Linked DNA regions of Caenorhabditis elegans. The protein of the gene in region 1 interacts with the protein of each later gene in a pairwise test. Each region holds a gene or a part of one and is shown in the gene's direction. Other genes may lie near its edges.

Region 1 (10,050 bases):
TGTTAACCATGCGAAATCAGTTGAGATGTCTACGTCTCACCTCCCGCATTTTTCGTAGATCAAAGCGAAAAGGGACCGTCTGACTCCACGTGGCCGAAGACATTCAGTGTCTATCGCGGACCTCGATCAATGTCGGCTGCATATTTACCATAAGGCCGGGAACTTCCAGTTGCTTCGAGATCAAAGGTCAAACTACATAGGGATAGACATTAGCGCTTTATTTATAGTAAATGATTTATTATTATTGAAATGTTATCTTTTATTTCAGGTTGCTATATCAAAAGGAGACCGAGTAGAAAGTTTCGTAGATTCTCGTGGATGTTATACCAGACACCTTGGTCATGATCTAGATGGTAAAGAAGTGCTGGGAGAAGGCCAAAAGATTGCTCTTCGGCTGTTGAATCATGATATTGTTCATGTATCGAAGCATGTTCATTCATATCCTTATGACTGGAGAACGAAGAAGCCAGTGATCATTCGAAGCAGTGAACAATGGTTTATCGATGTGGATGAAATTGGAAAACGCGCTTCTATGATGCTTGATGACATTTCAGTGGCCGCAGGTGATTCGGATCTACGTGCATCACTCAAACAACTGGTGACAACTAGAAAAAGCTGGTGTATTTCAAGACAACGAGTGTGGGGAACACCGATTCCTGCATTAGTTGATGACAACGGTGGATCCTATACATCTCGAAAACTCATTGAATGGGTAGCAAAATTGACACGAGAACGTGAAAATACTGATGTATGGTGGGAGATTGATGTAAAAGAAATATTGGAAAATGAAGAAGTTCGAAGATCGTTAGAAATTCCCAGTGATATAGTTTCTCAATTAAAGAAGAATACGGATATCATGGATGTATGGCTGGATTCTGGACTTGCTTGGCATGCTGCTAGAGATAATGACACTGAACGAGAACACGTGGCTGATGTAGTCTTAGAAGGTGTTGATCAATTCAGAGGATGGTTCCAATCACTTCTTCTAACATCTGTAGCCGTACAAAATAAACTTCCATACAAAAAGATTATTGTTCATGGATTTTGTATTGATGAGAACAATAATAAAATGTCAAAATCTATCGGTAATGTTGTTGATCCAACAATGCTCACGGATGGATCATTGAAGCAAAAAGCAATTGGAGCAGATGGTCTCCGGTTTTGGGTGGCTTTATCCGGTTCAGAGAACGCTGGAGAATCAAAAATCGGAATGAAAATTATCGACGATGTGGACAAAAAAGTTATTGCTTTTCGAAATGGATTTCGTTTCATGATTGGAGGCTGTCAAGGATTTGATGGAAAACAAGTCAAGTTTCCATTAAAGACGTTGGATATAGATATGTTACAAAATTGTGACGCGATTGTCAAAAGATCCATTGTTAACTACAACGACTTCAAATTCCGTACAGTGGCAAATGATTTGACACAGTTTTTGCAAAGAAATTTTAGTGCAAACTATGTGGTATGATTCAAAGAAATTGAGTACTGAATCTTGATATTTTAAATTTCAGAAATATGTTCGTGATCGTCTCTACTGTGATAAAGTTGGCAGCGAGTCTCATATATCTGCTCAATTCACTCTCCATAGGTATTTCAAGTAAGATTTTTAGAACTCTTTTTATTCATTATTTTTCAGGCTTGCTCACAATCTAGCTCATATCATATCTCCAATCCTTCCGCATTTATCATCAGAAGTCCTCCAGCACCTTCCCGGATCCCATGAAAAACAAATTCTTCGCTTGAAATTTGAAGATCTTCATTATGGACTTCTCACTCCACATGATCAGCTTTCAAAGCACATGAAATTCGTATACGAAGTTCGAAATCTTTTAGAGTCAACTGCTGGTCCAAAGATTGATACTTCTAAAAAAGTACGTTTTCTAGAAAAAAACAGTACCAGATCAATTGAATTTATTTACAGGGAATTGTTCTTCAAGTGACACCAGAATACCACACAATTCTTCGCATTTACGAATCAGAGCTGCCAGAATTGTTAAATGTTTCACAAGTGATACTGCATGAAAATCGGGATGAAAATTCTGTTGAGCTCGTGGAAAGCCGGTTGCGATATTGTGAGAGATGCCGGAAGCACACTCGGAATGAAAGTGATGCTCTATGCGGAAGATGCTCAGATGCGATGGGACTTTCTCGTTAAATTAGATGATTTTTGTAGAACATTGTAATTTGATTTATTTTAGGAAAGTAAATGTTTTAATTTAGAGGCGCCACGTTTTCAAGATCTGTTCAAAAACAAGATTTACGAAAACAAGATCCACCAAAACAAGATCTACATTTTCAAGATCTACCAAAACAAGATCTACGTTTTCAAGATCTGGCACCGTGCCAACTGTGGTTTTCTCGAAGAAAACCAAACAACGATGCTCCGATGTTACGCGTCGCGTGTTGTTTAGCGTTCAAACGAATATTTTTTGAAATTTTCTTCTAGAATTTACGCTTAGCAACACGCGACGCGTAGAGAAAACCGCAGTTGGCACGGTGCCAGATCCTGAAAACGTAGATCTTGTTTTGGCGGATCTTGTTTTCGTAGATCTTGTTTTTGAACAGATCTTGAAAACGTGGTGCCTCTTAATTTATGTTTGCACATCAATTTCCCGAAACACCAACTTCTAGCAAGAAAAACTTGACGTCATGCTCGACTTGCTTCAAGCAAAAGAGGTCCTCAGATAGAAAACAGGATTTGATGTTGAAAATTTATTTTCCGATATAAATACATAACGTCTCAAAATTTATAAAGTGAGTGCAATGATTGTCAAACGTAAGGGGGATGGAACCCGGTGACAAATAATAAACGATTAGTTGTGGATGATTGTTTACATGATTAGATTGGTGTCAGAAGTACAGAAGGCTTCACTGCAACGCGTTGACGATGGTCGAATTGCGTTCACAAATGGAGTACAGCATATACGTGCACGGGTAGAAGTACGTGTATGATGCCGATTCCAGGGATGATGGTGATTTGTAGCTGGCAGCACAATTGGCGAGTGATGACCAACCGTTGAAGAGTGGCTTGTATGGTTTGATGAGCCAGTTGCTGAAAAAATTAAATTTAGAAGCAATCAATTGTTGTTGACAAAACCTACATTTTGGTTGGATTGAGAGCTCCTTCAGTCTGCCATCTTGGCAACTGCTCCAACTTCTCGTAATGGGTGAATCTGACAAGTCCGATCCACGAAAAGAAGGCTTCCTTGGCTTGAACACGAATTGCGTCCCACTCTTCAATCGAATTGGCCACGAACAGTGTTGACTGCTTCTCGAAGCAATTTCTCTCGGCCTTGGCGAATCCAAGAAGCTCCTTCTCGATCCAGTAGCACGAATCGGCGAACCGAAGCCATCCATCGGGACACTTCTCAGTCTGATTGACGAAGGCTGGCGGCTGTCGAGCTGGGAACGAGATGTCTTCGAATGCCGTTGTGCCGAGATCCTTGTAGTCCCAGTTGTAGAACGTCACTGAAATTTGTTACTTTTAACGAAAATTTAAAGATTTCAAAGAAACTTACGTCGTTGATGCGGCTGTTCGTCGTTTTGAACCAATGGTGATGTTTCTGGAGCTTCACCACTAGCTTCAGGAAGCTCGGTTGAAGAAGTCGGAGCTGCATGAACGAGGAATAGCCCAGGAAGGATGAAAGCAACGAGAAGGCAAAAACGCATGATGAGCAGTGAAGACTGAGGAAATGAACGTTTCGTTCTCCTTTTATGCACATTTTTGCCGCCGTTTCCTGAAATTTTCACAAATGCGCGCCGCTAATAGACAGAGATCAAATAATAATTTCAAAACAAATCAAGTCTAGAAATATCCTAAACTTCATTTCTGAACTGGTGTTATGAATTTGAAGCACGGATGATGGTTTAAATGTTCTGTAGCACACTGCAGATTTTCATTTATGAAAATATTTAACTTTTAAAAGGGCAAGATCTTGTTTTAAAAAATTGTAATTAATTTTGAAAATTATATTTTGAATAGCCGCCCTTGATATTAACAAAATATGCAGTGGAGCGCACTTAATGCGCCCATTTTCAACAGAAAATAACGCTCGAGATTCGAATTCAATTCTCTCCTCCCTTGCAATTTTCGTGTCACTATGCCAACCGACGAACCTTCGAAGCGAAAATCCATTTTACCAACGATTCCAACATCCCTGATGTTGAAGAAAAGTAACGAAGCATTGAGTGACTTCGAACGTGAGTTGGGTTCAGCGAAAATGTATTATTCAGCGGTATTATCTTTCAGGAACATTTAATGATCGAGTTATGGATATATTTGCCGAAAATCGAAGAATAGATGTAGAGGAGTTTAAAAAAAATGCCGAATGCTTTTTAAACATCATTCGATCGAACAAAATCGATTTAAATTGGGGTGAAGGGGGAGAAAGTAGATATGTGACGATAACTCGATTAATGGTAAGGTTCTCGGTGAATTCAATAATTAAGAATGTGCAATTATTCAGAAAATACTCAAAACTTCACCACAATCAATCAAAGATCTACTTCCACATAACACAGTGTCGAATTTCGTTAAAATAACCAATTATAATTTAACAATTGATATCACTCTTTTAGGTTTGTGCAAAGCAGGGAGTTCTTATTATAAAGAATTTGAATTTCAGAGGAGCTTGTACGAACAGTCATTCACGCTGAGGAGTCCTACATCAAACTTCTTCCATTTTCAGAAAATAGCACAGAGATTTCCAGTTATGTAAGTATCTTATTTCTACTCTAAAAGCTATTATCCTGACACTATTTTCAGAGTCTCCAAGACTTTGTGGCCACACATTTTATTCCAATTATGATTGAAGAACCGGAAAATCCTGTCTATTATACAGCTTACGCAGTTGGAACAATATTTTTCCTATTGGGTGCTCGACGGCGAGACTGTGTATATTTGAAGGATTTACTTGCTTCAACACTTCTACTACAACTCGAAGAGTGTATTCATGCAGAGAATCATTGCTTATCACCTCCGAAAATTGATGTGTATGATTTATCAGTGCCATAAATTGCTTCAAAAAGTCTTTTTTCAGATTCACCGTCGCTCAATTTCGAACCACTTTATCAGAATTCCGATTCCTTGACTCCCAACGAAAGGGATTGTTGGCGCCAGCGGACTTGAAATTTTTCAGAGAGTATGAAGAAATTATTTTTCAGTCTATAAATCCTATTTTTCAGCGGAATCTTCAATGAGGTTTTCACCAAGCGAATCTTCGAAATTTCAATAACCTATGAAGATGGACGTATTGATTTCAAAGCGTTCGTTGATTTTGTCACCGCTCTAAAGTTCCGTCATGTAAGCGATTTTTTAATCAGAACCAAAAAATTGTTCTAAAAAATAAATTTCCAGACCACTGCCTCCGCCAAATACCATTTCGAAATTCTGGATCTAAAGGATGATGGACTGTTGGATGAGGAAGAAATTCGATCAATAGTGAGTAAAACTCTCCAAGAACACTTTCTCATCGCTTAAAAGTCATCATTTCAGCTTCAAAACCTGCCAGATTACGTCCCGGAAGATAATAGTGTGAACCCGGAAGTAGCAACTGCCGAACTGAGAGATATGATGCGTCTGAATCAGAATGGAATTACATTGGAAGAGTTTCTTGCTAATCGGATGAACTCGACGTTTGCTGGATTCCTCTCCAATTCCGATGATTACATGAAGTACGAACGACGCGAGCAATAGCAGTCCCGCTAATTTTATTTTTAAAACTATTCTAACCACTCATTTCGGCCTGCAAGGGTAATAAACAGCTTTTGGACCAAACATTTTATGGATGAGACAAGAGGGAGAAAAACGGAAACATAACAAGTTATATTTGAAGTAACAAAAGTATACAAAACATTTGTTTTGGATCAACTCAGGATTATAAATTTAAAGGGGAAACAAAAAGGAAAGCAACAGACAACAGATAAAAAACGAAGTGTAGACGGGGGTGAGAAACAATTTTGGAAACAAATTAACTTAAGGATAAAGTTAAGAAACTAATCGTCAGAGTCAGAGAACTTGATAGAATTAATAGATTGGTTGATTGGACCACCTCCGTAGCTTCCCTTCTTCTTCTTAGTTTTCTCATGACGGAATGCTTTTCCAACAACTTTTCCTAGGCTTTCATTGGCACGCTGTCCCCATTGATCGAAGTGCTGAAAATAAATCGAGTTAAACTTTGTTCGTAGTCGCTATATGTTTACCGAATCATGCTGGTTGTTTCTAAATTTTTCAGAAACGCTATCCTTTGTCATTTGCACGCGTCGGAATGGTGAAGACTTTCTTTTTCGGTTTTCATAGACCGCCTTTTCAGTCGAGGTAGCCAATGGTTTTGCCTTCAAAGCCGGTGTTCTTGAACTGCTCTCCTCGGTCTCGGCGGATTCTTCAGAGTCAGCACGTTGTGGTCTTGGAGTGACAGCCTTAGATGGTTTTGGAAGATCTTCGTCGTCATCAGAGGAATCAGAAGATTCAGCTTTCTTTAGTGCAGTCTTTGGAGTTGATTTTGCTGGTGTGGTGGCAGACTTCTTTTTCGTTTTCTCATCATCCGAAGAATCGTCTGACGATGAAGAGGCTTCTTTTTTCACAGCGGTTTTTGCAGGTGTTGACTTGGCTGGTGTCTTCTTAGCCGGTGCCTCGTCATCAGAAGAATCATCGGATGAATCAGCTTTTTTGGCAGATTGCTTAGGAGTAGCTTTTGGTGTTGGCTTGGCAGTCGGCTTCTTTTCATCGTCAGAAGAATCATCTGAACTTGAAGCCGCTTTCTCTTTTTTCGGGACAACGTTAGGAGTTTGTTTCACCACTGGTTTCTTTTCATCATCGGATGAGTCCGAAGACGATGCTGCTGCTTTCTTTGTAACTGACTTCGGGGTGACTTTGACAGGAGTTGCCTTTGTAGGCTTCTTCTCATCATCGGATGAATCAGAAGACGAATCAACTTTCTTCGCTACAATCTTGACTGGAGTTGGCTTAACTGGAGTCTTTTTCGCTGGAGCCTCATCATCAGAAGAATCAGAAGATGAATCGGCCTTCTTGGCAGCAGGCTTTGGAGTTGCTTTAGCTGATGTTGGCTTGGCAACTGGTTTCTTCTCGTCGTCGGAGGAATCAGAAGATGAGGAGGCGGCCTTCTTGGCAGTAGGCTTTGGAGTGGTCTTAGCCGGTGTTGACTTGGCAGCTGGCTTCTCGTCATCGGATGAATCCGAAGAGGATTCGGCCTTCTTGGAAGCAGGCTTTGGAGCAGCTTTAGCTGGAGTCTTTTTCGCTGGAGCTTCATCATCAGAAAAATCAGAAGATAAATCGGCCTTCTTGGCAGCAGGCTTTGGAGTTGCTTTAGCTGATGTTGGCTTGGCAACTGGTTTCTTCTCGTCATCGCTTGAATCCGAAGAGGACTCGGCCTTCTTGGCAACAGGCTTTGGAGTAGCGTTGGCTGGAGTTGGCTTGGCAGCTGGTTTTTTCTCGTCGTCGGAGGAATCAGAAGATGAGGAGGCGACCTTCTTGGCAGTAGGCTTTGGAGTGATCTTAGCCGGTGTTGACTTGGCAGCTGGCTTCTCGTCATCGGATGAATCCGAAGAGGATTCGGCCTTCTTGGAAGCAGGCTTTGGAGCAGCTTTAGCTGGAGTCTTTTTCGCTGGAGCTTCATCATCAGAAGAATCAGAAGATGAATCGGCCTTCTTGGCAGCAGGCTTTGGAGTTGCTTTAGCTGATGTTGGCTTGGCAACTGGTTTCTTCTCGTCATCGGATGAATCCGAAGAGGATTCGGCCTTCTTTGCAACAGGCTTTGGAGTAGCTTTAGCCGGCGTTGGCTTGGCAGCTGGCTTCTTCTCGTCATCGCTTGAATCCGAAGAGGACTCGGCCTTCTTGGCAACAGGCTTTGGAGTAGCTTTAGCTGGTGCTGGCTTGGCAACTGGTTTCTTCTCGTCATCGGATGAATCCGAAGAGGATTCGGCCTTCTTTGCAACAGGCTTTGGAGTAGCTTTAGCCGGCGTTGGCTTGGCAGCTGGCTTCTTCTCGTCATCGCTTGAATCCGAAGAGGACTCGGCCTTCTTGGCAACAGGCTTTGGAGCAGCTTTAGCTGGAGTCTTTTTCGCTGGAGCTTCATCATCAGAAGAATCAGAAGATGAATCGGCCTTCTTGGCAGCAGGCTTTGGAGTTGCTTTAGCTGGTGCTGGCTTGGCAACTGGCTTCTTCTCGTCATCGCTTGAATCCGAAGAGGACTCGGCCTTCTTGACAACAGGCTTTGGAGTAGGTTTAGCTGGAGTTGGTTTGGCAGCTGGCTTCTTTTCGTCGTCAGAGGAATCGGAAGATGAAGAAGCGGCTTTCTTGGCAACAACTTTCTGGAGAACATTCGCAACTGGAGTAACCTGTAAAAATAATTGATATTTTAAAATATTCGTATGATGAATTTCGTACCTTTACTGGATTTGCTTTCTTGCTTTTGCCATCGTCGCTATCCTCGCTATCACTGTCGGAATCACTGGTATCCTGCTTCTTTGCCATTGGCTTTGGAGCAACTTTGGTTGTAACAGCTGGAGCTTTCTTCGGAGGTTCATCATCGCTATCGCTATCAGAGCTTGACGCAGCTTTCTTCTGTGCAGGAGTTTGGGCCGGTTTCTTAACTGGAGTCAATTTCTTGGCAGGAGCATCACTATCCGAACTGCTGCTAGATTCAGCCTTCTTTTGAACAGGAGTCGCCGATTTTTTGGCCGCAACATTGACAGGTTTTTGCACACCATTCTTCTGGAATTCTTGATTAATTTTTAAAACTTTTTTAGAAATCTGTACTACCTTCACAGCTCCATCGTCTGAAGAATCTGAGTCAGACGAGTCCTTTGCTGCCATTTTTTTAACAGGTGGCTCGTTTCCGGAAGAAGAAGCTATACGCTTTCTCTTCTTGAATACATTGTCGGTGACGATGTCTTTGAGCTTTGGCGCTTCATTGTCTTTTAACTGAAATTTGTTCATTATAATTACAATAAATGACTAAATAACACTCACAAACGCATCCAACTTTTTCCGTGTTGCTTCATTGAACATTTTCGATACCAACTCCGGGTTTCTTTGTGAAATTTCGCTGTAGAGAACAGCATTCGCATACAAGTCGGAACTCATAGCGATCAGGGGTACCCTAAAAACACTTAAATGGTATATAAGACATTGAATATTGATTTAGCGCAATAAAAACTACAATTTTTCTCTAAAAAATCGATAAAAAGATTGATAAAATAGAAAAAATGGCTTTAAAACTATCGAACTACGAAAAAAAAGTTGCAGATAACAATCGTGGCGGGACCCACCATTCGACAAACCACGCGCGCCTTTAAGAAAAAGGGGCGGTTATTCAAATACGAGTTTTTCTACTTTGATTTTTTCGAATTATGCAGACTTTTCTGTAAAACGAAAATTTAAAAAATAAGTTGATTGTCTTTGGACTATCAACATGACTCAATAATTGTTCATTCAACAAACCTCCTGGGTGAAAGGAAGTACTTCATCAATGAGTAAATAGGGTCTGTGAGTTAATAAGAATGACGGATTGTTAAAACATTTATGGCTGACTGGAGAAGTAAGAGGCAATTTCACAGAAAATGTACAAATTTGATCAAACATGAAAGATACAAATAAAAGGCACTTAATTTTGTCTCGAACTAGACAAGATTAGAGAAAACTATGAAGTTTCTAAAAAAAAAGTTAGCTTATATACAATACATTAAAGAAGATTGATGCTGCTTAATCCGAATGACAACACTCCTCAATCTCGAAATCATTTGAAGGATTCGAAAGCCGTCCTTCTACAACATCCGATACAATTTCATTGAAAGCTGCCGGATCATCTGCATAGACATGAGTTCCAGCACCTCTGACAATCTTAATATCCACATATGCATTCTCTCGAGTTGATTGAATATCGATTGCCGGTCCTGGATCAATCCAACTCTTGCTGCCGTAGATAAACGAAACGCCTACGTTTTTATCAATTCCATTGAATCTGAAATTATTTTTAAACTATATTTCGAGTACTCATCAGCCGAAACCTTTTGATCATTGGTCTTTTTGCC
Region 2 (10,182 bases), on another chromosome or scaffold:
AATTCATCATCTAGCATGTTTTTGATGTCATTCTTTAACACCTGATGCTGAAAATCTCCGGTTTCAATCATATTGTTTACTAGATTCAGTTACTGGAGCCGTTAGTAACAAACTATTGTCATTCCGCTAGATCGTATTCCTACTTTTAATTTGAATTATAATTAGCTCACCAGTTTTTTTTTCTGTCTGAAGTTTTCGGTCTTTTTCAACAATGATTTTGTTACATAATAATTTAAAAAATCGGACATCATTAACCTTCGTTAGTTGCCAATCGATAGTTTCATCTTCTAAAACATACCGTTTTTTCTGAAATTTCGCATAAATGAGTCATCATGATTCTGCTGGGTTATGAAATGTATTTTTCTAGAAATATTCTACCTCGAACATTTTTTTCAGTACGCCCCTCTATCATAACTTGGCCGTCCCTAGCACGTCACCAGAGCTCTAAATCCTCGCCTTTTCACACCTCCTTTCTGCACACAACGCCTCTGCTGTCGTCGTTGTCGCCTTCAGCGATAACGCCAATAAACGAAAACATCGGTTCAGGAAGAGGACTTCTTCACTTCTCTCCGTCTTGTTAACAACAGACAGTGAGGGTGTTCAGTAGAGCGCAGTGAACCGCGACGCGAGCCCTTGCGATGCGGTCGCTCTTTCCTCTGCCTTATATCTTTTCTTTTTCATCTCTTTCTCCGTCACTTTCGCAATGCGATTGGTTCCTCGGCTGGTTATAGCACAGGAGTGCCGCTGCTCCTTCGCTATCTGTCGTCTGATCCTCCGTCACTGCCCAATTGGCGGGCCCCGCATCTCTCTGCAGCCCTGCTTTCTCCGCCTCGCTCTCCTCACAAAACAACAATTTTGTCGTACTCGATCATCCCGCGTTCTCTATCATTTTGATGTCTTCCACTAATGTTAAATTCATTTATTCCGTTCTCACGTGTTCCCATTACAATTGGCTTTTGCCCATTGAATATTGATTATGATTCACCGAAAATAAGGCAAAAAAAACACAGTTTTATGATTTTTTTTTTCATTTGAAGAGTTTCAGTTACATAATTAGGTTTTTTACCGTATCAACGTTTGCCTAACAATTAAAATATTTTAATTCTCGTTAGAACATAGATTGACCCCTATTGTGAAACATAATTAACAACATTTGTTCTTTGCCTTATCGGAACGGAATGAAATTCCGTATGGTTTGGTGGGAGGTAGAAACGCAAACAGCGAGTTATCGATTTCCTCTTTTTCCTATGAATATTTTTCAGCGCGTGATTGTTGTTCATCTTTCACTTCTTCGTCTAAAATTGAGAATGGACACTTTTTGACACTAGTAACTAATCCGGTCTGGCATTTAGTAACATTGAAAAATAATCCATAAAAACTACACATTTTATTTCTATGTTCTTGTTTTCTTTTCTTAACCTGTTCACGATTGATTTTCCGTCTTTTTTAAAACTTGTGCTTTACATCATTTCATTAACTGTCTCTCCTCCAATTGTGACGTTTTCTTTTTCGTTATAAGATGCTGTTGGAGCAAGGGGCACTTAATCCCTTTTGTCTTGCAATCCTATCAGTTTATACGGAAAGAAGAATCCGCTGAAAAGTATTGACTGTGAGGCAACAGCGTGAGTTTCTGCTCTTCACGCTTTCTCCGACTCGTGCTCCGTTGCTATAGCTGCCCACGTTGTCTTTCTTCTTTCTCTATGCGTTCTTATCATTCAAACTTTTTTATACTTCTAATTTCTTGACCAACAAATAAGTTTTCAGTAGTATGGCTGCTGCCCCACCATCTGCGGATCCGCTTGATAAAGCACTAATCGTCGATGTAGATCAGTGGATTGAGCAGTTATACGAATGTAAACCACTATCGGAGAATCAAGTCAAAACGTTATGCGAAAAGGTTTGTTGATACAGTTTTGTGATTGTCAAAAATTAATTTTTTTAAGGCGAAAGAGATCTTGGAAAAAGAGCCGAATGTGCAAGAAGTCCGGTGCCCTGTGACAGTGTGTGGTGACGTTCACGGTCAATTCCACGATCTGATGGAGCTGTTCAAAATGGGTGGAAAGAGTCCTGACACGAATTACCTTTTCATGGGAGACTACGTCGACCGGGGGTATTATTCCGTCGAAACAGTTAGTCTGCTTGTCTGTTTGAAGGTACAGTTATCACAATATAGTATGGAAATTATTATAACATCTTTAAAAATTCAGATTCGATACAAGGATCGAGTAACACTGCTCCGCGGAAATCACGAGTCGCGACAAATCACTCAGGTAATTAAAATCAATTTATTTCAAAAATTATTATTTTCTTGTTAGGTCTACGGGTTCTATGACGAGTGTTTGAGGAAATATGGAAACTCGAATGTGTGGAAGTACTTCACTGATCTCTTCGACTGTTTCCCACTTACCGCTCTTGTTGATGGTCAAATCTTCTGCCTTCACGGAGGTCTTTCACCGTCTATTGATACTCTTGATCACATCAGAGCTCTTGACCGCATTCAAGAGGTAAGTTATTGTGGAAATCTACCTTTAATAGTTACTAGCCTGAAATATTTCAATAATAGAAAAGTTCTAACATTTTCATCACCGAAAATCATATATTTTTAAAGGTTCCACACGAAGGACCAATGTGCGATCTTCTCTGGTCTGATCCAGATGACAGAGGTGGCTGGGGAATCTCTCCACGTGGAGCAGGATACACATTCGGTCAGGATATCTCGGAGACGTTCAACCATTCCAATGGACTTACTCTAATTTCTCGGGCCCATCAACTTGTCATGGAGGTGAGAAATTATTTCAAATCGATATAATTTTGCAATGATATAAATATGTTTAGGGATACAACTGGAGTCACGATCGTAACGTGGTAACAGTGTTCTCAGCACCAAACTACTGCTATCGTTGTGGAAATCAGGCAGCGATGGTGGAGCTGGACGACGATCTCAAATATTCGTTCTTGCAATTCGACCCTGCCCCTCGAAGAGGAGAACCACATGTTACTCGCAGAACGCCTGACTACTTCCTGTAGATAGATACCTCCGTTCAAATCGCCGTTTTCATTTTCTTTTTTTTCCGTATTATCCCCCTTACCCAATTAATTTCAATACTTTCTCTCACTTTTCCTCTTTTTCATCGTTTCAGTCATTATATAGAATATCGTTGTTTTTGTATCGTTGCCCAACACCATCCTATTTGACAATCCCATCTCTTCTGAAGTTGCTCGAAATGATTGTTGTGTTCTTCATCTATCTTTTTTGTTCCATTCTCTTGTCCTCTACCAAAATTTAGGCGATCAAACCGTGCTTCTCTTCTCAAATGATGCGATGATAGGGATGAAAATTTCATTGTTCATGTAAATTAATGTGGTGGGAAGAGTTTGGCGGAATCATTAGCCATTACTGAAAAAATATCTCCGACATCTCGTGTCAACCTTAGCACTCGGTTCTCTTCCTTCACTCAATGAAGCAATCAATATTCTTTTCAGTCATCCCCGTGTGAGAAAAGTTGCGATCTTCTCCGCGCACGCGCTGTACGGCGTTCGCTTCCAACATTTCTTTACTCTTTTTCTTTTCCTTCCATATTCTTACACTATTTTCCCCTCCATCCCATCCTTTTCACCACTTCCCGTCTTCCTTGTTTCTTATGATTATTATCACAAAATGCGAATGGACAACATCTCTCCCTTTTCCACTATTTTATTCCCCCATTTTGTTTAATTATAATATTATTTTTGCCCCATCAACATTTTGTTTATCATCAATGATCAATAAACTGTGTCCACATCAAAGTTTTGAATTTTCGATTGCAATGTAGAAAGCATAAAACAATACTTGTCTTGGTGAAAGAAAAAACTTTAAATCGAATTATTTTGGTTCCAGAAAATGAGTGAACCAAGTTCATCATGGTGCAATCCAATGGCAGTTTCAACGTTAGGAAGTGGAAATCTTCGTGACGCTCTGAAACTTCCACCAGGGGAAGATAAAAATGAATGGCTCGCCGTAAATAGTAAGTTTTTGCTAAAAAAAACTTTGACATTTTTTTGCACAGCTTGGTAATAATAATTTGTAATAAAACAAAAAATAATTTATAATAAAACAAAAACTGCTAATTGTGATTTTTTTCGAGTTGATCCAATTTTCTCAAAAAATACAAAAAATTGGATAAATTTCCTACAGTAATCTTAAAGGCGCGTACACGAAAACAAATAAACACTGACGCGCGGCGAGACTATTTCTCAATTTTGGTTCTCCCTTTAAAAAAGCGGAAACATACAGTTTCTATAAGTTTTCTTTTTTAATTTTATTTTTGAAAAATTCCAAAAAAAAAGCGCATTTTTTCAGTAATCGATCTGGTAAATCAAGTTCGAATGGTTTTCGGAGTTCTCTGCGAATCCGAATGTACCGATTCAAAGTGTCCATCGATGACAGCACATGGAAGACAATATACTTGGACCAGTGAAGGAACATTGTAAGCTTTTCTAAGTTTTTCCGTAATTCTTGGTTATCAAAATTCAATATTTTGAAAATTCTTAAAATTGCAGAAAACCGTTTCAGTATACATAATCTAACTGTAAAACGTATATAATTGTTTAAAATTTGCTCGGTTTTTTTTTTCAATTTTGCAGCAAAAAATATATATAGTGCACTTTTTCTCAAATTCTATGACTTTGAAGCAACATATTTGACGCGCAAAATATCTCGTAGCGAAAACTACAGTAATTCTTTGAATGACTACTGTAGCGCCTGTGATTTTCGAAATAAAGAATTTAGTTATCGATAGAATATTAAAATTATACAAAAATGAGAAAATAATACGAAGAAACGAGGACAAAAAAATTTATTTCAACAATCGAGCCCGTAAATCGACACATGCGCTACAGTAGTTATCTATAGAATTACTGTAGTTTTCGCTACGAGATATTTTGCGCGTCAAATATGTTGCGCAATACGCATTCTCAAAATTTTGTGCTCCCATAATAAAGAGCCGAATTACTTTATAATTCCCGTTCAAATTTCGTTTTTGTGCTTTCTGACTATATTAATTCGGCTTTTCTTTATTTTTGGATTGTTTTTAACATGGTTTGTCACAGTTTTCCTCACAAGCAGAAAAAAATTTAAATTGAAAAATGAAGAAAAAACCAATTAATTGTTTTCTGGGAAACACCGAAATGTTGAAACTCGAAAACTAAACACATGCCTTTCTAATTTTTTTTTTGTTACAAAATTGGAAAATCTGTAAAAATTCTGGAAAAACATTTTTTGTCATTAAGAGAAAAAAAACCACGTTCACTAGTGCACTACTCCATCTTTAAAAAAGAAGGAAAATTAATTTTGTTTTCGTAAAAACGCAAAAAAACCATTCTCACATTAATCTTCATGTTCCAAAAAAAAAAAATCTATCTCAGACTGAACACAAGTGCTCCTCAATACATTGATCTATCGCTCACTGCATGCCAAAACAATGTCGACGACGAAAACGTGTTCCCATCGGAAATCGGAAAACAATTCCCCACGGACTTTGAGGAACGTTGTCAAGCAATTATGAGGAGACTGTTCAGAATCTATGCTCACGTCTATTTTGCCCATGTCAATCACTTCAAAGCTATCAAGGCCTTGGCACACCTGAACACATCGTTCAAACAGTTCGTTCTATTCGCCAATCAATTCCAACTTCTCAACAAGGAAGAAACTGAACCATTACGGGAAATCATCGAGAATCTCATATCGTTTAGCTAAATAATCTGTTGTTAATAATATTCCCAATTCTGTGATTCCCCTTCTCCTCAGATGTGTAAAACTCTAATAAATTTGCTTTAAATTTTGAACTATACGTGTTTATGAGTTTAAAATAGGTGCTTTTAGGATTAATACACAAAAAGACTGGATTATAAATCATAAGCTTCTGACGTTCATGATATGGTATCAGTTTGGGAAAACTTCAAAAATTCTCTAGTTTCTTTTCTTTTTGTGTGACGAATTGTTGAGAGATGTTCATTAAATTAATTGTTATCCGGTCTTTCAAATTATCAAAAAAAAAAACTTTTCGGCTACATGTAGATAAGGTTTTTAGTTTGAGTACTTTCTCAAATAAGTTAGAACATTTTCCAGCAAAAGGATTTCAAAGAATATTTATTGTTTGTCCACTTGTAATAGGGTGAGCAATAAGTTTTCCGTGTTTTCTCAGTTTTCATCCTTTTCAACTATCTATGTAAAAGTCCCTTTCAGAAGAAACCAAAACTTTCCAAAAAAACATTTTTTTTCTGAAAGTGGATACAACTAAATACGAATAATTTTTCTTGGATAAAGTTGAAAACATTAGCCACAATTCTGCAGAAACCCCAAAATAATTAGCGAGATTTCAAAATTTATATTTCTATTTATTATATTTTGTATCACGAAAACACCAAATTCTGAAAATGCGTATTGTGCAACATACTTGACGCGCAAAATATCTTGTAGCGAAAACTACAGTAACTCTTCAAGTGACTACTGTTCATTAAAAGAATTACCGTAGTTTTCGCTACGAGATATTTTGCGCGTCAAACATGTTGCCTGTACGCATTCTGTACGCATTCTCATAGATGTTTGTTCCCGTAATAGAAAATATTTGAAAAATTATGAACACTGAGAAAATGCGAAAAAGAACTTATTGATCGCCATAGTAGATCCTACTCGATAGAATCGAAATAAGAAGTTTTTTTTTCAAAATCAAATAGTTTTTCGAACAAAATACCACTTAAAGATCAAATGCCACTGTTTGCTCTTTCTCTTTTTCCCGTCTGCATTCTTTTTATTTCGTCTCTTTTTGGATTCCATACCATACCAATTCCACCTTTGAACTTACATTCCTTTTTTCTTTTTGCTTACTTGTCCTATACTAGGGGTTACATATTATATTCGCACTTTTCCTTTTTCGTCTACGGTCTCATCTAAATTCATTCTATTTACCAATTTGTTGTATTGAAAGGTGAAACAGAGTGAGAGAAGAGAGGAGAGAATGAGTGACTCACATTTTTGCCTTTCGACTGTTTTGGATTTATTTGCATACTTCCACGTTTGTACAGATTTCACCTATTTTCTTTTCATTGATTTTCGTATTTGGTAGTTTTGGAAGTTTGCATTAGGGCGTGGTTGCAGTCTAGGTGAATTCTGAAATATAGATTCTACGAAACGGTCATATTACGTCTCCTTCTTATTCTCTTGTGTATGACTTCTTTCCTAGACAGGTACGACTGTAGCCGGACGAGACAGGCCTACCTGCCTACTGCCTGTTTTCAGAACTTTGCCATGAATGTCTGTGTTTCGTGTTTCCATAGTTTAGATTTGCCTATTTCTTATTAACTTGCTGAAATTTAAGAAATATGCTAAAATATGCTAAAAAGTCAGTTTTCATTTATTTTCATAATTTACAGGATGACCTAATATTCTAATAATAACTATTACAAGGTCTTCCGCACCTAATTGTTGCAAGTTATCATTCTTGAAAACTATTGATAAGAGTTGAACTCTGAAGTAAACTATCTTCGAAATTTAAATTTCGCAAACCCCAAAAAAAACATGATTAAGAAGTTCTTTGGCCTATTTTTCAAATTTCAAATCCAGTCTTATCCGTACCACCTTCTGCTTTTTCTTCCCCAATATGAATCTTTGATTGCCTTTCTTTTTCCTCCATACTCCACCAATTTTCCGGTCACTACGGAAACGACCAGACAGCAACAACCTCTCGGCTCTCTTTTCCTGTGTATATTTCCTTCTTAAATCTTATTTTTAGTGTTTTATCCAGATTTAGATTTTTTCAAAAAAGATTATCCCATTTTAAAGATCTTTAGGGGTTTCAAAATTGATTTCAATTTCAGAAAACATAAAATCAAATGTCGAAGAAATCATTAGGGCTTGATGTTCGGCTGGAATTGGAAGGATTGATTTCAAATGATGATACAATCAGATCTGAGAGTAAGTAATCTGAATACACATTTTGATGGAAAAATATGTTGTTTGTATTAATTAACGCATTCAGGTCTACGTGCCTACCTTATGCCTGAGCTGGGTTAAAAACATTCAACTCAACTCAAGTAAAAATCATCTCGAAAACTAGACGAAAATTTTTAAAATTTGGCTTTTGTTCTTGTTTCAGAAAAAATAGATTTCGAGACTTTGGAATTTCTCCGTCATGTACTAAAAGTAATTTGGCACATAGTTAGGTAAACAATTTTATACGGAGTTTTTCTTTCAGATACTAAAGTTCCACAAATGAAGTTTAAGAACTTTCGTGTTATTTTTGGTTTAAAACACTCTGATAACAGTTATCAGTTCGCCAATTTAGAGTCCTAATCAACACATTTTCAATTCAAAAACTAGAGTTTTCATGTATGAAAAAAAAACAAATCATTCAGAAGATGGTCGTCAAGCTTCAATCTTTCGAGTCGCTGAACTAGATGCTCGCACTGAAGCAGACAATCTTCGTTCAATAATCCATCAAAGTGCTCGAGAAGGAAATGTAAACGCTCTTCAAGAAGCTCTGCTGAAAGCTCCATTGGCAGTGAACGCCCAAGATGGTGATTTTATGACACCGCTTCACTATGCAGCGAGATACGGAAACTATGATGCAGTTAAACTATTACTTTCTAAAAATGCTCTACCTAATACAAAAAATCGAGAAGGCGACACTCCGTTGCATATTGCTTCCAAGTATATCTATGGATACAGTGATATTTGCTCAATTATAGATGAGGATCAAGCTGATTCCGCGAGAAAGTACAATACTGCAACCAAGAAGATCATAAATGCCTTAGTTTCTGAAAATGCGTGAGTTTCAACTTTATACTTGTGACTTTGATGATTATCTGATTTCATTTGAAAAATGAGATGGAACTCCTGGGGAAACCCAATTTGTGGCGGAGTTTACATTTAAAATTTTTAAATACAAATATCAATGCTCTGCTTAAGTTTTTTTGTGGACATTTTCCTTTCCAAAAATTGAGCTCAAAATTTGGCAAAAGTACTCATCTTATTATATTATTTTGGAGCATTTCTAACCTCATCCAATATTTTGTGAGCAGTTATAATAAATCTTTAACATTTTAAAATTAGGACCAAACACTTCTCATTTTCGAGTTTTATGTTCGGAATTTTTTCCTTAAAAAATCTAATATCAATTCAAAATTAGGATACTAGTGACATTTTCTCATAGACAAAAATCATAAATAAGTCCGCTTATTTAATGTCCTTATTCAAAACCTTTTTTTATGAAAATCAATCTCTAGATTGCTAGAAAAACCCAATAAGATTCCTGAATGTGAATCGGAGTTTATGTTTGAAATTTTAAATTAAAAAATATTATTGAAAAAAAACGGCTAAAATTTAAGTGAAATCGATCCTGTGAATAAGTACCAATTGACTCCTCTTCACTATGCAGCCATGAAATCCAACTTTTCTGCTCTACACGCTCTCATAAAACTGAAAGCAGATGTGGATGCGGAAGATGATAACAAAATGACACCTCTTCTATTAGCCTGTGTTCATGGAAGCCAAGAAATAATTCAAGAGCTTATTAAAGCAAATAGTAATGTTACGAAAAGAGATCAACGACTCAACACAGTATTTCATATTGTTGCATTGCGGGGTGAGCCGGAATACTTAGAGATGATGATGGATCATGATCCAGTTGAAGCAATCAAGGCATTAAATTTATTTAATAATGAAAAGAAGACACCTTTGAGAATGGCTGTAGAAGGAAATCATCCGGAAACTTTGAAAAAGATTCTGCAGATGGAAAAGAAAAATTCATGTAAATGGATGGATAGGGAGAAGGAATTGATCCATTTTGCCGCTGAAAAGGGATTTTTAGAAGTTTTAAAAGCATTAGTGGAAGCTGGAGGAAACAAGAATGAACTGAATGAAGTTAAAGCAGTGCCACTTCACGTTGCTGCTCAAATGAATCAATTGGAAGTTGTAAGCTATTTAATAGAAGAGGAAAAGGATAATATTGATGTAGTCGATGAACAAGGCTTGACTCCCTTGATGATGGCAGTCACTCATGATAGTAAAAAGTGTGTTGAGTACCTGATTGCAAAAAAAGCAAACTTGACAATCACGGATAAAGATGAACGTACCCCAGTATTCATTGGAGCCAAGTTCAATGCTCTTTCTTCTGTTGAATACATTTTGGACCACCTTAGAAAAAA
Region 3 (10,477 bases), on another chromosome or scaffold:
GTAATTTCCTCATTGACAATTAAGCCAATGCAACAGGCGAAATATTTTTGCACTTTCGAGATGCCTCTTTCATTTTATCATCATTTTGCTCTCAACGTGGATCATTATACACATTTCACATCGCCAATTCGTCGGTATCCAGATGTGATTGTTCATCGACAACTTGCTGCTGCTCTTGGTTATAATGAAAGATCTGAAAGAGTTCCTGAAGAGATACAGGAGATTGTAAGTTTTCAAACACTCAAGAAATTTTTGCATTTAAATTTTCAGTGCACCCGCTGCAATGACACAAAGCTCGCATCGAAGGAAGCTTCGGATGAGTCTGCGATGCTCTATTTTGGAGTTTTCATCCATCAAACCGGTCCGATGAAGTGCCAAGCTGTTGTTCTTGGTGTAATGGATCTCTCATTCGACGTCCTCATCGTTGAGTATGGAGTTGTGAAGAGAGTTTATGTGGATGTGAGTATAGATTTCAAACAATGACGAAAAAAAAATCCGAATAATTTCAGAAAATGAAGCGAGACTTCAACAAATCGACCGAGAAGCTTACCATTTACTGGCCAGCAGATCCGAATGCGGAATCCGGAAACCGTGAAGAGTTTTCGAGCTCAATTCAAATGTGCAACGTGGTTTACGTGATTCTCGTGCCGTACAAAAGCATTGAAGTCAGCGCGACAATTGTTCGTCCGAGTCTCGAGCAACGTAATATTCTCAAGTCGACTCTCAAGGACATGAAAGAAACGGGCTCAACAATTCTTCAGTAGTCATTCGGATTCAGTGATCTCCTCCAGCAAAAGCTTTTTTTCCTTTTTCAATCCTTTTTTCCCCTTTTTCTATCCTTTTTTTCCCTTTTTCTATCCTTTTTTTTCTCCTTTATCCTTTTTTTCTTTAAATTCCATTTTCCCGTTGTATTTTTTAAAACGCGTGTCCATTCCTCGTCCCGGTTACTTTTGGTGTCGAATGAAAATGCATTATTCAATATTACTAGCGAAACTTTTATTTGACAAGTTTTGGGTGTTAACTGTCACGTAACTCGTTAAGAAAATTAGAAACTAGAGAAATATAGGACAATTGAGAAGTGCAGTTAAAATAATATGTATTGTTATCTATTCGATATCCATCATTGTCTGTCCCCAGATCATATTCGACTCGCATTGGTAGCTGACCGGTTTGGCGGTGAAGTTGAAGTACTGACGGTTGACCTTCAGATTGGAGCACATTTCGAGGAAAAGCTCCATGTTCGTGTCAGAGACGCAGCCATGAACGTTGAGATAAACGAGCGAAGGCTTACTGTTGAAGTGTCTGGAAATGTTTTGTTTAAATAAATTAAACTAATTTTCAAATAAACTCACACAACCATATTAGGGTCCAATCCGTAGCATCGATTGAGAGAAATTGTCGTAAGTCTCGGGAATTTGTTCAGAATCACTGCGAGGCCTGGATCACTAATCTCGACGTTATCCGACAAGTCGAGGTCGGTGACGTAGTTGGATTTTGCGGCGAGAATCTCAATATCTGGAATTTTTTACAGAAAATTAGAAGATTCTGACAACAGAGCCGCTCACGTTTATTGTTGATGCCGAAGTTTCGAACTGTTCCCGAGAGATTCAACTTTTTGAGCTTCTCGCCAATGGAATGAATGATTACGGTCACAATTGGCTGTGTTAATCCACACCACGCCAGATTCAGTTGTTGCAGGCTGAAAAAAATATTACGAAGGTGCACGGGAACAAGAAATATGTTACAGAAATTATTTAAAGATACACGTGGCAAGAACACTTTCAGGAAAGTTTTAAAAAATCCCTCACTCTTTGCAATTTCTGAAGATCAAACTGGCTCCATTTGCCGTGATTCCGTTGGTCATCGAGATGTCGAGCTCGCGGAGCCCGCGATTCTCTGCAATGCATATTGCCACGTGGTCATCCAATTGATTTCCTTCAATTGACAAGCATTTGAGCTTCTGGCATGGTTTCAACATAATCTGCATTTGGCGGGCAGTGAGATTAGTGCGAGAGAGATCGAGAAGCTCCAAGCGGGAGGTGCTCAGCAGTGCAACTTCGACGAGCCGTTCATCGGCACGAAGGATTCGATCGGCCTGGAAACAGTTAGTTTTATAGGAAATAAAATAAAATTCTCACTTTAGCTCCTGCCAGACGAAGAACTTTGATTTTTCGTTGTGACAACGCAATCAGTGAAATTTCGGAAATAGGACGATCCTGGGCGTCGGTGATAATCCAATTTCTCGATTTGTGTCCGATTCCGTAAAAACGATGACAGACGAGCATCGCCGAGAGAAGATCCTTCTTTTTCAAATTGGAAAAGATTTGTTCAGTGATCTCATCGGGAATACTGTACTTTTTGAACGGATTCTGAATACTGCGTGCGTCTTTTCGCTTGATCGGAGCGATTTCATCTTCTACGAGATTTTTGCAATTCAGATTTATCGACTTTAGCTTTTCGGAGCTGAAATGTCGTAAAATTAAGAAAATTAAGAGATAATTGCAGCTTACTTTCCGGAAACTGAAAGCCTGAGGCTTTTCTTTGGATAGAGGTTGTAGCATGGAAAGATGGAGATGGTCTCATCTGAGAATACTTTGAAAAAGTCAATCATATTTGAATTTTGACACACAATTACCTGTCTCCACGCAATGCTCATTTTCAGAGGGTCCGTTATCTTCTAGAGTTGATGGAAGTCTTCCTATGACACGAGACATTTTGTTTGAGTAGATATGAGGTGTAGTATTTAGGTGGTAAATAAGGGAAAAAGCACTTTCTGCTTGAAATAAATTCAAAACAGGGCTGATTTGAATAAATATGAACTCGCGGGCGCGGTAATCTTTTTTAGGTTGGCGCGAGTTTTTGCAATGCAAACGCGCTCCACCGCAAATCTGAATTTTCGAACATTTTTCGCCAATTTTTATCCTTATTTTTTTATTTTTTGCAATATTTCGCTATTTTTATTTGTTTCTCCCACCAAAAGCGCACATTTTTAAATCAAAATACGATTAAATAAAAGTAATATAACTTTTTAAATAAGTCCAAATAACCTTTAAGCAAAGTAAGGGTCGAATCTGAAACTATTTCTTGAAAACAACTTTTTTGTCTCATTCATCGAAGATTGGTTGTATTCGGAAGTGAGAGGTTGACAAGTTTTTTAAAATCCATTTTATTAATTATTCCGAAATACACATTTAGTTCCAATAGTTTCGAAATTTAAAACGTTTGAGTCATCCTTCATTTTTTCTGCCTAGTTGCTGTGATCATTTGGAGAGAGTATAAGAATTTATTAATCATTTCGAAAAAAAAAATCATTTTTGAATATCCTGTATCATTCTATTAAACTTGAAGTTATTCGGCCGGTGTTGAACAATTTGCTCCTCATTGGCGATCATTTCGTTATTCTGATTTCTTCGATTATAACGGAAGGAGAGTGGATCTGAATTTACAGTAGATTTTAAATTGGTTTTTCTTGAATTTCCTCACCTAATTTTTGTAGTGGAACAGGCGCTATGTCCACCGGCTCTGCAATATTGTTCAAGCCGATCGAGCGATTTGCGTAGAGATTTATTTCATTAAAGATATAATCATCTGACAAATTATCTGGCACCCCTCGTTTTCTTTTAGAAGTTTCCTCGATAGGTTCGGTTACAATTACATCGGTTTGTTGAGCTGAAATAGGATCCAAATTATCAAATATCCTTCTCTATTCATGTTATAAATCTTGGTTGTAAGAACAGTTAACATAATTAGTAACAATTAGAAACCTGATGTGATTAAGATTCTATCACTGTTTTTAAATAGTAAAATAAATAATTTTGACATACGTATATTGATAACTTCTCCTCTTTGTAACGCCTCAATCAATGCATCCAAATCAAGATCTCCATCACCTTGAGCCTCACGCAGTGCTCTCTCCTTTCGAAGCCTTTCCTTCAGTCGTTTAATCTGTCATTAAGCCACTAGTATACACCTTGGAGAGCCACCACAAACCTGCTCGGCTCGTCGCCGTCTACTTTCCTTATCTATCTCCTCTTCACGCTTGCCGTCTGCCCATTTGTTGAAGCTGAATGTGTTGAACACATTCGCACCGTCTCCCATTGTACTGTTCTGTAAATATATAAACTGAGCTAATGAGAAGAATACGTACTAGAGCACCACGCTTTTGCGAAAAATGAGAACCAAAAGCTCGATTGTGCACTCACTTTTGCATATTTTATTAAAGCTTTTGACGTCCTTTTCTCTTTTGTTCGCCTGTTTGAAATTTTTGAAAACCAGGAAACCATGATGATTTTAAATGTTTAATGATGTTCTTCTAACAGCATGCCCACGCGTTTTGCCTGAAAATTCGAATCAAATTAATTTTCAGCCTTTTTATTGTTTAAATATCAGAAAAAAACTGGCTGTTCACTAATCACGTGATGCCTGTGTTTTCATCCTCCCTTCTACACTGAAAATATTCTATTTTAAGGACATTTTCAGTCATTTTCCGGCGCTGTTCCCTCTGTCGTCGCCACGTCCAGTACACCGAAACCGACGACAAATCGATGAGAGCTCTACGACCGCAGGCGCGATGGATTGTGCTATTGCAGTGAGAGAGAGATGGCCGTTCTCTGCTTCTCTGCGTATCACTGTCGCAGCTGTTTCTCTTCTTCTCCTTTCGCCGCTCTTTTTTTGCATGTTCGTCAGGTTCACTATAGCGATTTCTTAATATCGAAATTTCACGAGTTTCAGAGTTGATTTTCGAAAGATCAGTGAAAATATTGTCCACGTGGTAGAGTTTTTCACTGATTTCTCGAAAATTCCAATAGTTTCTTTAAAAATCACACTCTTCTTCTTTGAACAATTCCATTTCATTGATTTTCTATATTTTCGTACAGAAATAATAATGTTTCAACAAAAATATGTTTTCTAGCACTGAACATTCTTAAATTTGAATTTAATTTTCTTAATATCAGATATTCAAAGATGACTATTCGTAGATTCTGCAAGTTCTTTCAAAATACTCAATTTTTCTATTTTCTCTCCAATTTATTTCTCCAAAAACCACCCGGTAATCAATATTTCAACACATTGCTGTGTTATCTTCACTGCGTCTCCTCTCTCTCTCTTGTTCTCCTCATGCCCGATGATAATCCGTTTCTCTTCCCGTTCTTTCTCCTTTGAATAGCCGCGAGATTAATTTTCATAAAACAAATTTCAGCACTCTTCATCATGTCGGTTGTCGAAGAAGCCACTGACGACGCGCTCTACCCGATTGCCGTGCTCATTGACGAGCTGCGCAACGAAGATGTCACGTTGCGACTGAACAGCATTCGCAAACTCTCCACAATCGCTTTGGCGTTGGGTGTGGAGCGCACACGCAACGAGCTCATCCAATTTTTGACCGACACGATTTACGACGAAGATGAGGTTCTGCTTGTGCTCGCCGAGCAACTCGGAAATTTCACTCCATTGGTCGGTGGTCCAGATCATGTTCATTGTCTTCTCCTTCCACTTGAGAACTTGGCCACAGTCGAGGAGACCGTGGTCCGTGACAAAGCCGTTGAGAGTCTCCGCAAAATCGCCGACAAGCACAGCTCGGCCTCATTGGAGGAGCATTTCGTGCCGATGCTCAGACGTTTGGCCACTGGAGACTGGTTCACATCCCGTACCTCGGCTTGTGGGCTTTTCTCTGTTGTTTATCCACGTGTCAGTCCAGCTATCAAGTCGGAATTGAAGAGGTGAGAATTAAGAAAAGAATAACTAAAGCAATCTAAATTAATTATTTTCAGCATGTTCCGAACCCTGTGCCGTGATGACACCCCAATGGTTCGCCGTGCTGCTGCTGCAAAGCTCGGAGAGTTCGCAAAGGTGTTTGAGAAGACTGCCGTCATCGAGGGTCTCCACTCCAGTCTCACTGATCTTCATGTTGATGAGCAAGATTCTGTTCGTTTGCTCACTGTCGAGTCAGCCATCGCTTTCGGAACTCTCCTCGATAAGGCTAACAAGAAGAAACTCATCGAGCCAATTCTCATTGAATTGTTCGATGACAAGTCGTGGAGAGTTCGTTATATGGTTGCCGAGAAGCTTATCGAGATTCAGAATGTCCTCGGTGAGGATATGGATACCACACATCTCGTTAACATGTACACGAACCTTCTCAAGGATCCAGAGGGTGAGGTTAGATGTGCTGCCACTCAGAGACTTCAGGAATTCGCTCTCAACTTGCCAGAGGACAAGCGTCAGAACATTATCTGCAACTCACTGCTCAACGTTGCCAAGGAATTGGTTACTGATGGGAATCAGCTCGTCAAGTCGGAACTCGCCGGTGTCATCATGGGACTTGCTCCACTGATTGGCAAGGAACAAACTGTCTCTGAGCTTCTCCCAATCTACATGCAGTTGCTTAACGATCAAACCCCAGAAGTTCGCCTCAATATTATTTCCAGTCTTGATAAGGTCAATGAAGTGATCGGAGCAGCTCAATTGTCCACATCCCTCTTGCCAGCCATCGTTGGATTGGCCGAGGATGGAAAATGGAGAGTTCGACTCGCAATTGTTCAATTCATGCCACTTCTTGCTTCCCAGTTGGGACAAGAATTCTTCGATGAGAAGTTGCTTCCGCTTTGTTTGAACTGGCTTACCGACCATGGTAACTTGATTTTTTCTTAAAAATGTTTTTAATTTAATTTTTTCCAGTGTTCTCAATCCGCGAGGCATCGACCCTCATCATGAAGGAACTGACACAGAAGTTTGGAGGACAATGGGCTAGCACGAATATTGTACCAAAAATGCAGAAACTTCAGAAGGACACCAACTACCTGCAGAGAATGACATGCTTGTTCTGTTTGAATACACTCAGTGAGGCGATGACTCAGGAGCAGATTCTGAAGGAGATTATGCCAATTGTGAAAGATGTAGGGAAATTTTACTTTTTTATTTAAAGAAATCGTAATTTTTCTAATTTCAGCTTGTCGAGGATGACGTGCCGAATGTCAGATTCAACGCCGCAAAGAGTTTGAAGCGAATTGGAAAGAACTTGACCCCAAGGTGACAGGAAAATCTTTTTCACTATCCCAATTTTCTATTTTCAGTACATTGACGTCCGAGGTGAAGCCACTGCTCGAGAAGCTCGGAAAAGATTCAGACTTTGACGTTCGATACTTTTCAGAGGAAGCCAAGAACTGTAAGTTTCAGTTGTCTTAAAATTTAGAGTGAATTTGAAATTGAACATTTTCAGCACTCGGCTTGTAATCGAACATATCGCTAGTCAAATTGGAATCTCTACATCTTCCACTTCTCAATCGTCTTATTTTTCCATTTTTGTTCCCGAGCACGCGAATAATCTCTATCTCTCCTCATTCATTTGTAAATGTTTAGCCCTCGAGACAAAACTCTGTATTGTAATAGTTCTAACCACCGTCCCTCCCACAACAAAACAATACAAATTATAATCGTTAAATTATGCGACCTCTCTTTATGATTATTTTCATTTTCCTCCCACTTCTATCCCGTATATTTCACCATCCTACTTCTTTCTGTTCTTTTTCCACCACACACAATCACCACTTTTTCCATTGCGACCCATTCATTCATTTATTTTTTTTGCAGAATAAAAGGTCATCGTCTATTATGAGAAAAAAGGTCTCAGGTTAGGTTAGATCAGTGTGGTTGAAATCTCTGAAAATATTTGGAATAATGGTGTTATCCGGCGTATGCCACGTCGCAGAAGCTTTTGAGCAGAGAATCTCGGTGCTTTTGCAACGTGGATTAAATATTGCTCAAGTTGCAAGCGTTGTGAAACGTCTCATTCAAATAAAAAATTTACTTTTGCCATTTGGAACTTTGAAACCATCTTTTTGGCCGTTTGGCAAATCCAGCTGGCAAAGAGCGGGCATAAATTTATATTAAACGCGCAGTTTCCCGATTGATTGTCTCAGAAACTTCCAGTGCTCAGATTTTGCCACGTGGCTAGAAGTTTTCGTTGCCAAAATTATTTTTTCCAATTAAAAAACTGTTCGCATTTACTTTTCAATTTTTCAATTCAATCGGAGAATTGTTTACGTAGTTTCTCTTTGCAGGTGCTATGCCAAGACGATGATAATTTATTTCCTCCAACTATTCCTGCTGCCGTCCACGACCGCCACGGCAGGCGTATTTGACCTTGCAGAGTACCGACGGGTCTCTTATGACGCGAATATTGGCGAGAATTTTCTTTGGTTCGCCCCGGAATTGGATATTCGAAAAGTTACAGCCAGCAATATTGATGATCTCGAAAAGCGAATTGTTAATCGGATTCCCGATGACTCGACCGAGCAGAATTTGATGTTTGTGACGAGTAAAGGAGGGCAGAAGTTTGCATGTTCTTTGCCAGATGTGGAAGATGTTAAGGTACACATTTTTAGATTAAATATTGTGCTTTGTTGTAAAAATCGGCAAAAATTTGTAGCGTGTTGTTTACAGTTGACTTTAGGTGTTCTTTGTTTCATTACAGCGATAATATTAGTTCGAAAGTCACGTTTTCGAGTTTTTCGCTTAATTTTTTAAATTTTCACCATAATTTATAAACAATCAGTGAAAATACGCTAATAAGAGTTTTATTTCAGTATTCAGACATTAAAAACGCATAAACGGTCTCAAATATTGTCTGGTTTCAGAAAGACAAACCAAAAAGCAGCAAGAATCCGAAAATCTATGGAGACGCGCTCGCCGCAAGCTTTTACGTGGACAAATGTGTGAAACTACGTGGTAATCACTGGTGGTCTTATATTCTGTGCCGTGGACAGACAATTGAGCAAGTGCACGGAGAACGTGAGTGTCAATAATAGGAAAATAAACCAATCAATATACATATATATTGCAGCTGGTCAGGAGGGATATGTAAAGAATATACTCGGATTGTTCGATGGAAGTCTCAAAATGCCATCCTATCAAGAATCAACGGATGATCGATTGCTTTTCGTCGAGGAAACGTACACGAGTGGGACTTTCTGTGATTTGGAGGAATACAGGGAGCCACGGATGACTTCTGTTCGGGTATTATATTAAAAAAAAAAGACATTTTACCGCTCTAACTACGGGATTGTTACTTTAAAACGATTTTTGAAAAAATGTATACAACATTTTTTACTTTAAAATACTAATTTAATTTTTGAGAGAAATATCAACATGGCTAAAAATCTTCATTTTTTTTGGAAAGTTCACTGATGTGTTCCATAGTTTTTTAGACAATTTTTAAAAAGCATAACGTACTGAAATTCCAAAAATAAAAGTTAAAATCTAGGCTAAATTGGCGAATAAAGTGTTTTTAAAGTAACAGGAAAATAAAATTATTATTTATAAAATTGTACTTCAAAAAAAAATCAATTTTAAACTTCAAAAACAGGGAAAAAACTACCAAACAACCTTTCAAACCTTGGTCCCTATTCAAAAACCACAAATTTCTCCTAAACAGCTAATACTTTCCAGTTTTTCAGTACGAATGTGACGCCCAACTGAGTACCAACGAGGTATACATCTCTTCAGTTGTCGAAGTGAAACCATGTCAGTACTTGATGATTGTAAAAGTTGGAACCCTCTGCAGATATCCGGAATTCTTGCCCGCAAGCCAGTCAAATACCAAGAAAATTGGATGTCAACCATTTTTGAGAAAAGAAGATGTTCGACAATTGTTAGAACGACAGCTTGAGGAGAAACAAAAGGCAGAAGAATCACAAAGAGTATTGACAGTGAAAAAGCGAAAATTCCAACGAGCTGCTGAGAGATTCAATGCAATGACCAAATCACAGAGAAATCTTCATATTCCTGACGTGGTGAAACGGATTAACGCGGAAATGGATTATCACGCAGCTCATTTTAACCTTCTGGTTGCAGGATTAGGTTAGAGTTTAAGAAAAAAAAGTGGCCGCGAAAATTGTTAGCTTCCAGAGGAAAAGTTAAATTTAAAATCTTGTCAAATAATATCCAATGAATGGAAATTCAGTTTTTTTTCAAAAAATATGTAATAATTTTCTCACTTTTTAAGAAAGAAATTAGTAAAAATACAGTGAAAATAATTAATTTTTTTGAATTTTAACAGAACTCGAAGGAAAACCAATCACACAAAAGAAGCGAGATTATATGTGGAAATTATTCAGCACGGCAGATATCAGTGACTACATTTTCTACTGTAACTCCCCCAGTTTTCAAAATTAAAAAATTAGTAACATATTTTTCAGCTGATTACGACACTGTAAACGACGAGAATCGCGGTCATCTATGGTACTATTTCCATGATCCATCATGGCCGAGAAATCAATTCCCAAAGGATATTATGGCCACTGCGGTTGGGAAATGTTGTGAATTTTCAAGTAAATTTCTAAATTCTATTGTAGGTTCAAAATGGATATCTCTCCGAGGTTCAGAAGAATTTGAAGGGAACTCAGTACAGATTTGGGGATAATGATGAACTTGTGGAAGGGTACGGTTTTCAGTGGAAGAGATTTTTTTAAAACTAGGC

Evidence for each region.
Region 2: the proteins of rsa-1 (region 1) and let-92 interact in a two-hybrid assay, tested with the Caenorhabditis elegans proteins (one study listed by BioGRID).
Region 3: the proteins of rsa-1 (region 1) and paa-1 interact in a two-hybrid assay, tested with the Caenorhabditis elegans proteins (one study listed by BioGRID).

What each region holds. Positions count from the first base shown.
Region 1 is NC_003279.8:10,181,778-10,191,827, forward strand, and holds rsa-1 (Serine/threonine-protein phosphatase 2A regulatory subunit rsa-1), read left to right. Parts: upstream 1-4,078; 5' UTR 4,079-4,100; coding exon 4,101-4,200; intron 4,201-4,249; coding exon 4,250-4,419; intron 4,420-4,466; coding exon 4,467-4,578; intron 4,579-4,625; coding exon 4,626-4,714; intron 4,715-4,765; coding exon 4,766-4,992; intron 4,993-5,039; coding exon 5,040-5,141; intron 5,142-5,184; coding exon 5,185-5,302; intron 5,303-5,356; coding exon 5,357-5,440; intron 5,441-5,482; coding exon 5,483-5,695; 3' UTR 5,696-5,773; downstream 5,774-10,050. Other genes in the region: iars-2 (isoleucine--tRNA ligase), read left to right, coding at 269-1,462, 1,512-1,588, 1,637-1,871, 1,922-2,155; clec-87 (C-type lectin domain-containing protein 87), read right to left, coding at 2,869-3,052, 3,102-3,468, 3,519-3,669; Nucleolar protein dao-5, read right to left, coding at 5,995-6,153, 6,202-8,355, 8,405-8,731, 8,780-8,941, 8,990-9,103; lid-1 (AB hydrolase-1 domain-containing protein), read right to left, coding at 9,722-9,980, 10,027-10,050. UniProt on the Caenorhabditis elegans protein: Regulatory subunit of phosphatase let-92 which recruits let-92/paa-1 complex to the centrosomes, thereby regulating microtubule outgrowth from centrosomes and mitotic spindle assembly ensuring the stability of kinetochore microtubules.
Region 2 is NC_003282.8:11,856,678-11,866,859, forward strand, and holds let-92 (Serine/threonine-protein phosphatase 2A catalytic subunit), read left to right. Parts: upstream 1-1,764; 5' UTR 1,765-1,768; coding exon 1,769-1,897; intron 1,898-1,943; coding exon 1,944-2,153; intron 2,154-2,207; coding exon 2,208-2,270; intron 2,271-2,315; coding exon 2,316-2,504; intron 2,505-2,608; coding exon 2,609-2,782; intron 2,783-2,835; coding exon 2,836-3,027; 3' UTR 3,028-3,783; downstream 3,784-10,182. Other genes in the region: mob-1 (Mob1/phocein), read left to right, coding at 3,881-4,004, 4,340-4,466, 5,404-5,734; trpa-1 (Transient receptor potential cation channel subfamily A member 1 homolog), read left to right, coding at 7,870-7,951, 8,392-8,803, 9,364-10,182.
Region 3 is NC_003281.10:5,445,530-5,456,006, forward strand, and holds paa-1 (putative serine/threonine-protein phosphatase PP2A regulatory subunit), read left to right. Parts: upstream 1-5,200; 5' UTR 5,201-5,211; coding exon 5,212-5,720; intron 5,721-5,771; coding exon 5,772-6,631; intron 6,632-6,678; coding exon 6,679-6,896; intron 6,897-6,949; coding exon 6,950-7,029; intron 7,030-7,073; coding exon 7,074-7,165; intron 7,166-7,219; coding exon 7,220-7,233; 3' UTR 7,234-7,608; downstream 7,609-10,477. Other genes in the region: disl-2 (DIS3-like exonuclease 2), read left to right, coding at 1-225, 271-459, 510-764; skpt-1 (F-box domain-containing protein), read right to left, coding at 1,107-1,302, 1,353-1,515, 1,566-1,699, 1,809-2,095, 2,139-2,463, 2,511-2,592, 2,636-2,714; F48E8.8 (Hsp20/alpha crystallin family protein), read right to left, coding at 3,309-3,436, 3,484-3,669, 3,825-3,945, 3,991-4,107, 4,203-4,283; F48E8.4 (MRH domain-containing protein), read left to right, coding at 8,077-8,370, 8,637-8,790, 8,843-9,015, 9,456-9,858, 10,058-10,147, 10,197-10,303, 10,353-10,438. UniProt on the Caenorhabditis elegans protein: Acts as a scaffolding protein for phosphatase let-92 and its regulatory subunits.